Kluyveromyces lactis: one gene and its partners. The protein of the gene in region 1 interacts with the protein of each later gene in a pairwise test. Links are inferred from orthologs where the notes say so. Each region holds a gene or a part of one and is shown on either strand. Other genes may lie near its edges.

Evidence for each region.
Region 2: the proteins of STE20 (region 1) and HSL7 interact in a two-hybrid assay, tested with the Schizosaccharomyces pombe proteins (2 studies listed by BioGRID). The link is inferred for Kluyveromyces lactis from reciprocal best matches to the Schizosaccharomyces pombe genes shk1 and skb1.
Region 3: the proteins of STE20 (region 1) and BEM1 interact in a two-hybrid assay, tested with the Schizosaccharomyces pombe proteins (2 studies listed by BioGRID). The link is inferred for Kluyveromyces lactis from reciprocal best matches to the Schizosaccharomyces pombe genes shk1 and scd2.

Annotation. Positions count from the first base shown.
Region 1 is NC_006038.1:1,190,776-1,194,494, reverse strand, and holds the start of STE20 (mitogen-activated protein kinase kinase kinase kinase STE20), read right to left. Parts: upstream 2,904-3,719; coding exon 1-2,903. Other genes in the region: putative ubiquitin-protein ligase UFD4, read right to left, coding at 3,665-3,719. UniProt on the Schizosaccharomyces pombe protein: MAP4K component of the MAPK pathway required for the mating pheromone response. Phosphorylates histone H2B to form H2BS10ph. Phosphorylates tea1. Required for skb1-dependent mitotic inhibitory function. Regulates microtubule dynamics and cell polarity.
Region 2 is NC_006039.1:1,374,787-1,378,544, reverse strand, and holds HSL7 (protein arginine N-methyltransferase), read right to left. Parts: upstream 2,638-3,758; coding exon 301-2,637; downstream 1-300. Other genes in the region: KLLA0_C15851g (uncharacterized protein), read left to right, coding at 1-221; cyclin-dependent protein kinase regulatory subunit CKS1, read left to right, coding at 2,995-3,393. UniProt on the Schizosaccharomyces pombe protein: S-adenosyl-L-methionine-dependent protein-arginine N-methyltransferase that can catalyze both the mono- and symmetric (type II) dimethylation of the guanidino nitrogens of arginine residues in target proteins.
Region 3 is NC_006041.1:2,076,660-2,080,417, reverse strand, and holds BEM1 (phosphatidylinositol-3-phosphate-binding protein BEM1), read left to right. Parts: upstream 1-1,430; coding exon 1,431-1,439; intron 1,440-1,657; coding exon 1,658-3,376; downstream 3,377-3,758. Other genes in the region: putative ubiquitin-specific protease UBP16, read left to right, coding at 1-1,013; KLLA0_E23343g (uncharacterized protein), read right to left, coding at 3,656-3,758. UniProt on the Schizosaccharomyces pombe protein: Required for mating and morphogenesis. Interacts directly with scd1 and with cdc42. May bridge and facilitate scd1 and cdc42 interactions.

The DNA of each region.
Region 1 (3,719 bases):
ATCCTTGCCAGTTTAACCAACGGTGCAAGGGAGGTGTTCTCTTCCGCAATTTCAGTGATAAATGGATCTTCAAGAAGATCTGCTGCGGTTCCTCTGTCCTCTGGATCAACCATTAAACACCAATTTAAGAACATAGCCATTTTATGACTTAAATTTCCAGGATCCTTTAGCTTTGGCGTACCATTGGTAGCGATCAAATATAGAGCTCTTAGTGGTGTCTCATTCAGATATGGTGGTTCACCTTCTATCATTTCAATGATCATAATACCAAGAGACCAAATATCAACCTTTGGTCCATATTCTTTTCTTGATACGACTTCTGGGGCCATCCAGTACGGAGTACCAACCATCGTCGTTCTCTTCAAATTTACCTCGTTAATCTGAGCACAAAAACCGAAATCTGTTAGTTTGATGTCTCCGTTCATGGATAGCAAAATATTGTCTGATTTAATATCTCTATGAATGACTCCCTTTGAATGCAAAAACTGTAAACCCTTGAGTGTTTCTCTAGAGACGGCACCGATTTGCCCTTCAGTCAATATACAGTGCGTAACGACATCAGTCAACGAACCACCTTCCATGTATTCCATGACAACCCATAAATCACCTCTAAATAGGTATGAATCAATGAAATTAACAATGTTGTTGTGTTTGCTTCCTTTCATGACCAGAATTTCATTCACAATTAACTCTTTCTTGGGTTGTTTCTCCAAATTCATCTGTTTTATTGCTACTGAAGCATTTGTGCCCAATTCATACGCTGTGTAAACTCCTCCTGATGCACCTTGTCCGATTTTGATCAGATTCTTGTACAGTTTGCTTGGGTCTCCTGTTGTGCAAATCTCGGTTAATTTTGATTGAATTTGTTGATTCTTTCTTTTCCTCTCTTCCCTCTTTTTTTCCTGGGCCTTTCTTGTCTGGACATTAGAAGTATTCGATTCCTCTTTCACTTCCACAGCAAGCCCGGAAGGAATTGCAGGTATTGAGGATTGTTCCGGTGTTGTAGGAATTGCAGGTTTTGGTGGAGTAGGAGCCGCTCTTGCAGGCAATAAATTTGCTGGTTTTTCTGCAGCCTTTGGAATAGGAGGTAATGGTTGCTCACTTTTCAATGTTGGCATCTTCTTGAATGAGAAAATGCTTGATGACTGAGTATCACTTCTTTGCACTTTTGGTGTTCCATGGCCAAGCGAATTGATTGGTGAAGGGATTTCGACCCTACGGCTAACTGTGGAGGAACCTTGAGGTTTTGGAGCAGGCCGAGTCGGTATGAACTTTTCGTTGTTCACAGTTTCACTGAAATCGTTAGTGAGCAGCGGACCCTGTAAGTTACTAGAGTATGGGGTATCATTGTTTTCATTCGGAAAAGTTGCATCTGTTTGCATTTGCGGAGTTTCGAACTTCTGTACTGATGCAGTTGATGGGGTTCTGAAAGAAGGTGTAGATGCAATGTTTGCACCAGAGCCACCTCCTACTTTGAAAGTCTTGAAGACTTTCTCTTCTCCAGAGTTTTCAGTAACATCTTGGTAGAATTTTACAATATCCATCACAGCCTGGGGATGTTGCTGTTGTTCTTTCATACTAATGCCACTGGAAGTTAAAAGTTTCTCCCATTCATTTGGTAACCCTGTATATTCCCCTGTTTTGGAGTCAACACCTACATGATAAACATGCTTAGCATTATAAGGAGTAGAGATCTTAAATGCATTATTTCCACTTCCATTACCGCTTCCGCTAGAAATTCTTTTCTCTGAGTGTGAGTTCCTCTTGATGTTTTGAACGAATGTTGAGAAAACACCTTTCTTCTTAGTACCGGTCTTCCTCTTAACATCATTAGAGGAGGTGGAGGAATTAGAATTCCTCTGGGAGTGGTCAGGCGTCCCATGCTGACTCTTAACGTTTTTCCTCAGAGAAGAAAACGGAGAAGAAATGGTTCTGAAGGGGGATCTTGATTCTGATACTGGTGTTTGATTTTCGAAAAAGTTATTCACCATTACGGGAGTTTTAATTGGAGGATCCTCATTTGTTGTTTCTGGATGTGGTTCTTCTTCAGGTATTACTTCATGCACACTTACGTGTTTCGAATGATCTGCAGACGCTGTCGATGCCTTGTTGAAACTATCTGTAGATGATAATATCTCATTTAGCGGGGACTCATATACATCATTGGCATCAACTTCAGTTATAGGTGTTGTAATCTTTGGAGAATTTGAGGTTTGTGTGGAATTTAGGAAGTCAGAAGAAGTTTCCAGGGCCCCGCCCATAAGAGAGAGATCAGGTGTCATCCTCCCGCCAGTAGATATTCTACCTATATTTTGGGAGGAACCTTCTATAGTTGACATCGTCTTATCTCCAACAATAGATTCAATTGTCCCTGGCGTCTCCTTCGAAGTCAAATTATTTCCTTCTTCCACTTTTCCTTCTAGATGCGATATTAAATCTGCATCACCTTCCGATATACTTTCACTTAACACAGAACTGGAAGAGACTCTTGTAAATTGTATCGGTTCATCCAAAGTTGGCTGGTTACTATTAAAAATTTCCGAAACATTTGTTGGTACGGTGCCCGGTTTCCCTGGATCCATAGATTTATAATCTGAAAGGTCTTTGACGTAATGATCTTCGTCTGATTCTTGTAATCCTTTCACATCCAAACTCGCTGGTGCACGAGGTAAATCAAAGAGATCTTTTGAGACAGATTGTTCCCTAGTCTCCGTTACTTCTGTATGATCCTCTAGAGTTTGTACTGAAAGATTTTCACGATGTACATCCTCTTGTTTTGAATCTTGATTTTGACTTTTGCGTATGCTACTGGTGTCACTTTCTGTATTGCCACCATTTTCTCTCACGGAAAGCGCATCAAATGTGCCTGGTAACAATTCTTCAGTATATCCAGTATCCGTCATTATATGGAGACAAAGTAGTGAGTGTAGTAGCTTCTATCAAAAAAAAAAGGCCTGTGTCAAAAGATGTCTTGTGGTTAATTCTATCGACCGAACAAAAAGGAAAGGTATTCCGAAAAACACAAACAGGTCTGTAATGATTTCTAGAGCATACAACCGTCAGTAACAAAGCCTGCTGTGGCCGTGTTAATTTCTGTCAGAAAAAAAGCTAGATTACTTTGTTCAAAGAATAGAAGATCAAGTCAGATAAACAATGAAAGAAATGACAAAACGTGCTCTGTAAAATTCTTTCTACCTTCACCTCCTTCTAACTTAAAAACGAGAGCCTGTTGTGTAATTCAGTGTAACGAACGTCTTTTGATTGCTAAAATCACACTCTCGCCAAAACAAACAAATAATGTGTGCTTGTTATTAAAAAGATCCAAAAGAAGATGGTATTACCTGGTATTACTCTCTGAAATACTTGTCAAATCGGCAGAGATAGCCTGATTAATAAAATTTAAAACCTAGTTCTAACACAAGCCACAGTTAAAGCAACAATTGAGCTTGCTCGTTTCTCTAATCTGCTTATAAACATGCATACCATCTGATCTTTACATTCCGTTTGTTTAAACTCTTAAGCTTTAAATTTCAGTTTCAACATTTTCGCCAATCCCAAAGAGTAAATCCTGTCACATGTCACGAAAGTATGTGGTATTGAAATCTTTAGTTAGGGTGGAGTATGGTTAGATCTACAGACATCTCTATGTAGTTATATACATATTCTATGACAATAGGAAGGCTCCGGAACCTTCAGTCATTGCTTGTGCAATACGATCT
Region 2 (3,758 bases), on another chromosome or scaffold:
AGCTATACTTTTTATATGATGAATGCGAGTCCAGTTATAGATTTTTGCCGATTTTACCAATTGCGATACAAGATGAAATAGACGAAATTCATGACCAGATCAAAATTGATAATCAGTTTGAGGTGTCATCTAATGCCTTTGAAGACATGGACGAACCAAAACCCGCTGCACATGCAGTTTGGACCTCTAATGAAATGAAACTTACAGAAAATCCTTGGTGAACATTAAGTAAATAATTTATTGATATGCGGATTTAAACTAAATGGTTAAAGTTTGCTTCGATTTTTATAAATGCCTTGTTTATAGAGGAATCGAATATATGCATCCATTGGGATTATGCAATTTGGAAATATTAGTCCTAACTCTGACATGATATTCTTCTGTTAGTGATTTTTTCCGTTGTTCTTGATCTTTAGTTAGATTAGATGAATCATGTCTATTTTGTATCTCATGCAGGTCTTTTACACTATCCCATTCATTTGTTCTACCTGACATGAAATTGGTATGATTGATTGAGTCTTCAAAATACTTGTCTTCTATTTCTGAGGAGTCATTCTGAGGACCGAATCGTGCGAAGGCTTTAGTCAGGTTCTGAGTATCTATATCAGCATTTTCTTTCGATCCAGTTCTGGGTACTCTTTCTCCTTCGGATTTTGGTATTTCCGAACTTGACACAAGGTATACAAATGATGATACAGACCATTCGTACCAAACTCTGCTATTTAAGTCATTTCTAGTAATGAATACTTCAAGTTCAGTGTCATCATTTAAGAACAAGGGTTCCTTCAAGGGGAAAAACATTGGTGACCATGATTTCATATTTTCCGTATGATTCACTTTAGTGGCAGTTGATCCGTTATGGCTTCTGGAGTTATCTATGTTAGAATTTTCCTGATCTTCTAAAGTTTTAATGACAGAGTCATTTGGAACTATGCTCAAGGTTATATCTCCGTATAATGTTGCAATAAAGTATCCAGCAATACCATGAATTTCACTTTTATGCTTTACTCGAAAGTGGGATATTGAACTTTTGTTAAATTGATGCTGTTGTTGATGCAAATGTGAGAATGACCATATTTCATTTACTCTGGATGATGTACGGCAATATGGAACATTGTGAATTATTGAAGGTTTTTCGAGATATTCTGGTCCTTTTTCAATGAGGCTTTGGTATAAAATTGGAGATGATATAGGAGACGCATAGGAACTATATCCTTGAGGAATAAACCTTGTGTTAGGTTTTGAATGGAAAGCTTCTATTGGAGCAATACATTCGGGAGATAACTCGTTACAGCCGAAAGACCCCAAAAGTTCACTGATGCAGAGATCGACTTTAATATTTTCATCCCATTCTCGGATGTCAGTACGGATAACTTCAACTTTGTTGTCCCAGTGTTCAAAGTTGCGTTTCTGTAAATAGAGAAGTGCTTGTGGGTTTTTTTCGATAGCCAATAGCCTGAAGTTGGTTACTCCAAGTTTATGTAACACTTGGAATGTCTTATCCACCAATGGACCCCTGCCTGCACCTGCAACTAATGTGATAAGTTCTGTAGGGCCTCTCCAACTGGACGAATTTTCTGTCAAAATTTCAGATACAGCGACCATGATAGCCCTCTCGTATAATTCGTACTTGACAGTATCCTTTTCGAAAACTTGGTAAACTGCATTCGAAAGATTATCATGATGGGGTAGTAGCGGAGGCATGATTGTAGGTGCACTGTGGACAACATCTTGGGTCTCCATTAGTATGAGCTTATCTCCCTTTTTCAATAAATAATTGAGGTATTCTAGGTACTGTGTAGGTTCAATTTTGAGTTTATCCGTGTATTTCTCCATACCATGTAAAACGATAGCTAGTTCGCCAAATGTTGATGCGTTACCGTTAACACGTTGGAACTCAGTGATTAAATGCTGATTAAATTTATTCAATACAGGGTAATTGTATTGATTTGTTGTGAATATGGATGCAGAGATCAAAAGACATGTGACAGGTTCGCTCAGCCATCTGTTTAGCACAAAACTGGGAGTCTTCTGTCTAGGTAGAGCTAGAGATACAGTCAATTTAGGCTCGTATCCGCACATTTTCCTGATCGTGTTCCACAGTTCCCAAGTCGAAAGTGGATCTGAATCTTCAAACAAAGGTAACGAAATAGATATTGTCGGACACGCTTCTTTAAAAGTATCAAATACTGTACACAAAGATTGTGCGTAGTAATGAAGCGTGTGTAACTTTTTAGGAGGAGCTAAGATAACCTGTCTGATTCCAACGAAATTTGCATAATGCAATTCGTGCTCCAACACTTGCAAAGATAAAGTCCGGACATCAGCATCATGGCTCTCGAGCTCTAAAAAGTAAGAGACCAATCCAATATATGAAACATTTCCATTAGATGGCAATACCCCCAGCTCTTGCAATTGAGGAGGATCTAACTTTAGTTCTTCATTCCATCCATGACCGTGATCTCGAAAATCTTCAAACTTGGCCTTCATGGCATCCTTGTATCTGGTATTTGTCAAGGGCAGCAGCACATAGTCATAATTCTCTACTCTTTTATCTGTAGAAGAAGTTCCAAGAACATCAGCGGAATGTTCACTGTGAGGTTTGATCCCGACGAAAACATTACTTCGACTTGCCATTTCAGCACATACAAACACACAAACGCAGCACGCAGAACAGTTTCACAACAACAGTCAAACGTTTATTGGTAAACCCTTCTTCAGCTATACCGTAATTATGGTAGACACTACACCAGTGATAGCTCTGTGTCCTATTCTTTTACCTCATCTCTGACCATCAATAGTGACGGATCTGGTTTCTGTCCTAAACAATATTTATTTTCATTTTTTTTTTGTAAACAATACTATTTTAATACCTAAGATCTTTTCAGTTATGCTAAAGACATGATATGTGATGAGCGAATAAGATCCAGCATCAGTAGTCTAGGGTTAATTAACACTCCAATTGTATAGCTTAAGTTGTGATCGAATCTAACAATGTATTCGACGCACGCTTTCCAAGGCAGAAAGCTTTCTGATCAGGAAAGAACGAGAGTTCTCGAATTTCAAGATAGCATTCATTATTCACCAAGATACTCCGACGATACACACGAATACAGACATGTAATGCTTCCCAAGGCCATGCTAAAAGTGATACCTTCTGATTATTTCAACGGAGACACTGGTACTTTGCGAATCTTAACAGAAGACGAATGGAGAGGGTTAGGAATTACACAATCTCTGGGATGGGAACATTACGAATGCCATGCGCCTGAACCACATATTTTACTATTTAAGAGACCACTGAATTACGAGGCTGAAATACGTGCGGCGCATGCTGCCGCACAGCAGCAGCAAAAATCAATTGCTGCAGGCCAACAAAGTCAAAATATATGAACTACCCACTAAAGACTTTAAAATGAAATAATAAGAAAATCGTATTCCAGTTTTACGCGTTACACTGTTAATAAGAGAGAATAATGTTTCCCCAAAGATCTGCAATTCCTGGCTGCACACTTTGTGTAAGTTAGTCTTCTGTTGTCAAACTTGCAAATGGCTTAAGACGCCTGAATTGTACTTCTGGAGAAGTGTTTAGCATATGTACATACCACATTTATGTATGTGTTGAGATTCCTTATTGATACCAAAATTTGTATATAAGTCAAATTATAAATAATGAAACTAACCAAAAACAAACGCTGGACTATGAAAGAAACACAGTTTTCTCTCGTTAGGGCGTCCTAGGTGAGTGTGATTGAGAG
Region 3 (3,758 bases), on another chromosome or scaffold:
ATTCGCCAGATGTTTTGATTCTTCACTTGTCGCGTTCGGTTTTCGACGGGATGGGATATCAAAAGAACACCTGCAATGTTTCTTTCGAAGAAGAATTGGTAGTCAACCGCCAAGTTATTGAAAACAATAAATGTGTTGGCATCAGAAAGGATTCATATAAGTTAAGGTCGATGTTGAGGCATCAAGGTTCTCATTCTACCGGTCACTATGAATGTTTCAGACACAAACCAGAGTTTATGAAAGACATTGATACACATCAAGTCATTAGCAAGACACCAATGGTGGACTTCGGTATTGCGTCGAATAAACTTGCAGCTGAAATCTGGAATCAGGCCGTTCTGAACTCCTCTAACAAATCCGATTCTTGTTCAATCGGCTCGGAAGATTCAATCTCCTCTAACGTGCCATTCAGATCTGTTTTCCTGGACTCACCAAACTCTGCGATTGTTACTGATGATGATTACGTTATTGGAAGCTCAGAGTTCTCTAACGACGCAGATAATAAGGGCCAAAACAACAACAGTGGTTCTGGAGTTTCAAGGACGCCATCCACTTTGAAAAGAGTCACTGGTTTCCTTTCGAGAAAGAGTTCTGTCTCGGCAGCACCGGATAATAACAATACTAGCAATATACTACCTGAAATTAGCAGTTCACCCATGGCTTCATCATCTTCAGAACATAGAAACCGCGCAAGATTTAACAGTGTCTCTTCTATGACGACTGACCGCAACGCTTCGATATTATCTAGTAATGCTAGTATCGACTCTTACAGTACAGATCAAGTTACTAATACAAGTGCTACCGAAGTGGAAACTGAAACAGATTATGACGGTATTTCAATGAATGTCAACAAGAAGACAAAGAAAAGAAGATTAAAGAAATTGAAAAGTGTGGTGAAATACCCATGGTGGAGAATATCTGATACTAAAGTTAAAGAATATAAAACTTCAGATATTTTATCAGAAACTAAATTCGTTTATATGTTGTACTATGAGAGGGTACCAGTAGTCTAACCTGGTCAGTAAGCAAATACTGGAACCAACATAACAACAACCAAAAGAATAAGAAAAAATAGAAACATAGACATATTTTACTAAATTGCACAAGCGGCACCTCACCGCTCCGAATCATTCATCCTTTGTCAATTAACTCATCGATTTATGATGACCACAGGCCATGTATTACTCGATTAATTAGTTTTAGCACTTTTACGTTAACCTTATATACATATACTGTACGATCTTTAAATTTCAGATCATGTGACCTCTAAAACCCTTCTAGAATGAAATTCTTCCTTTCCTTCTGCGGGTTGATGAAGCGAGATGAAAAAGGATTGACATGAATAAAGAGACGAGTTTCAGGAATTCATAATAACAGAGTTGATAGACGAAAGCTGCAACACAAAGGCAAAGGCAGTCAATAGTGGGAAAATGTTGAAGGTATGTAATAATGCGCGTGGTATTGTCTTATGTTTGGCAATTTTGACGTAGTAGCGGAGGATTTCTGACTTTGTTAGAGGCTGGAAAATTTTTCTTTACTGAAAGAAGGTAACCACATGAATATTGCAACGTGAAGGCAAAATACTAACATATACTATGATCATTGGTTGGTGATTAAATTGAACCAATTATCTAATTTCTGGAAATTTTTGGAATAGAATTTCAAATTGAAGAAAGACAGTGTGAAACAGCGCATAACTTCTGCGGATATTTCCGGACCTACTCAAAGTCCAGGGAGCTCAGTGCAAAACGTAAAGACCATTCCTATCAGGCAATTATCTACATCATCACAGCTATCTTCGGGGTTTACAAGTGGAAAATCAAAAGATATCTCGTCTCCAGAAAAAGTAATCAAAGCGTTATACAATTACCAGGCACAATCAGCCGGTGAATTATCATTCAATAAGGGAGACTTTTTCCATGTTCAGCAAGAGGAGAACGATTGGTATGAGGCCTCCAATCCGGCGGACGGCAAGAGAGGCATGGTTCCTAAGAATTATTTCGAGATTTTTGGCAGAACAAGGCCAAATTCGCATGCATCACCGGTGAAAAGTATAAATAGAAATGGATCTGTCGGTAGTAATCAGTTATTACAGCATCATCAGCAGCAACAGCAGCAACAGCAGCAACAACAACCTTCCAATATGGGAACTCTTTATGCAATTGTACTGTATGATTTTCAAGCAGAAAAGGCAGATGAGTTAACAGCCTATGCCGGAGAAAACTTGTTCATTTGTGCTCATCACGATTTTGAATGGTTTATCGCTAAGCCCATTGGCAGGTTGGGTGGTCCCGGTCTAGTTCCTGTTGGTTTTGTGACTATTATAGATATAGCTACTGGTTATGCCACGGGAAATGATGTAAAAAGCGATATCGAATCAGTGAATCTACCCTCGGTCCAAGAATGGAAGATCAATATCGCCCGTTACAAGGCTAGCAATATCACACTAGGTTCAGTGGAACAGCAGGGTCAGTCGTACGTGCAACACCGATCACAATCCAGGCAAAATTCACAAAACCGTCAACCACACCCCAGCACGCAGCACTCGAGCGCTGCCAATACAACCTATCCTGCTGATGCCGTTTTCCTTACCTACGCTGCAGTCGAGACATTTTTCCTACAGGACGATAAGTATTGGTTCCAAGTCTCGTGTCAGTTATCCAACAACACCACGCGTATTTTGAAGCGTTATTATGAAGATTTCTATGATTTACAAGTAAAGCTACTCGATATCTTCCCTGCAGAAGGGGGTAAACTAAGAGACACTAATGGTCAGTGGACGAAACGTATAATGCCATATATACCGGGTCCAGTTCCGTATGTGACAGATACCATTTCAAAAAAGAGAAAAGATGACCTAAATATATACGTGAAGGATTTGATTTCCCTACCGCCGCATATATCACAATCACATCTGGTCAAGGGTTTGTTTGCCGTTAAAAATAATGGTTTTGACCGTGAGATTAGTAATGATGAAACTGTGGAGCTTGACGTAAAAGGTAGGGCTGATGATTCAACTCTGACTAACCAAGAACTACAACTTCCAGAGGCAATGAAGAGACTGTCTCTGATTAATAGCGCTTCCAATGCCAGTGCTAAAGTCAAATCAAGGCCGCCTAGTGGTTTCGCTCCGAGAATAACTGATGAAAAGCCTGTCAAGATCAAATTTTATTACAAAGATGACATATTCGCCTTGATGCTGCATCCTACCATTACTTTTGAAGAATTGTGCAGTAAAATAGCACCTAGAATTGACGCAGATTCTTTTAAGTTGTACATCAAAAACGGAGATGATATTGGCACTCAAGTCACTACTGATGCAGAAGTACCGGTTCTAATTCAAGAGAAACGCAAGATCTTTGTCGATGACAGCTAAGTTATTTGTTGCAAAATTTTATCGTCATAATAAATAATACAAAAAGAACCCCAAGGTGGTCAAAATTCAATTTCTATCCACTGATGGCTTTCATGCTTATCATAATGATGTACTGTACATCGCATTGTAATACTTCAACATAATTTTGACATTAACACTCTTATATTCTTTCACATTAATTCAGTTCAACAAGTAAAAATCAGTTGTTTACATACTCTCTCTATAGGTGTTAATACTTCTATCAAAATGATAATAATACTTCACAAACATGTCTAAGGACTATTCATCCAGCTCTATGTCCATGTCTGCATCCGCGTACGGATCTGTATCGAGATCCATGTCAATGTCCATGTCCGCATTGTGATCAAACTCATCATTTCTA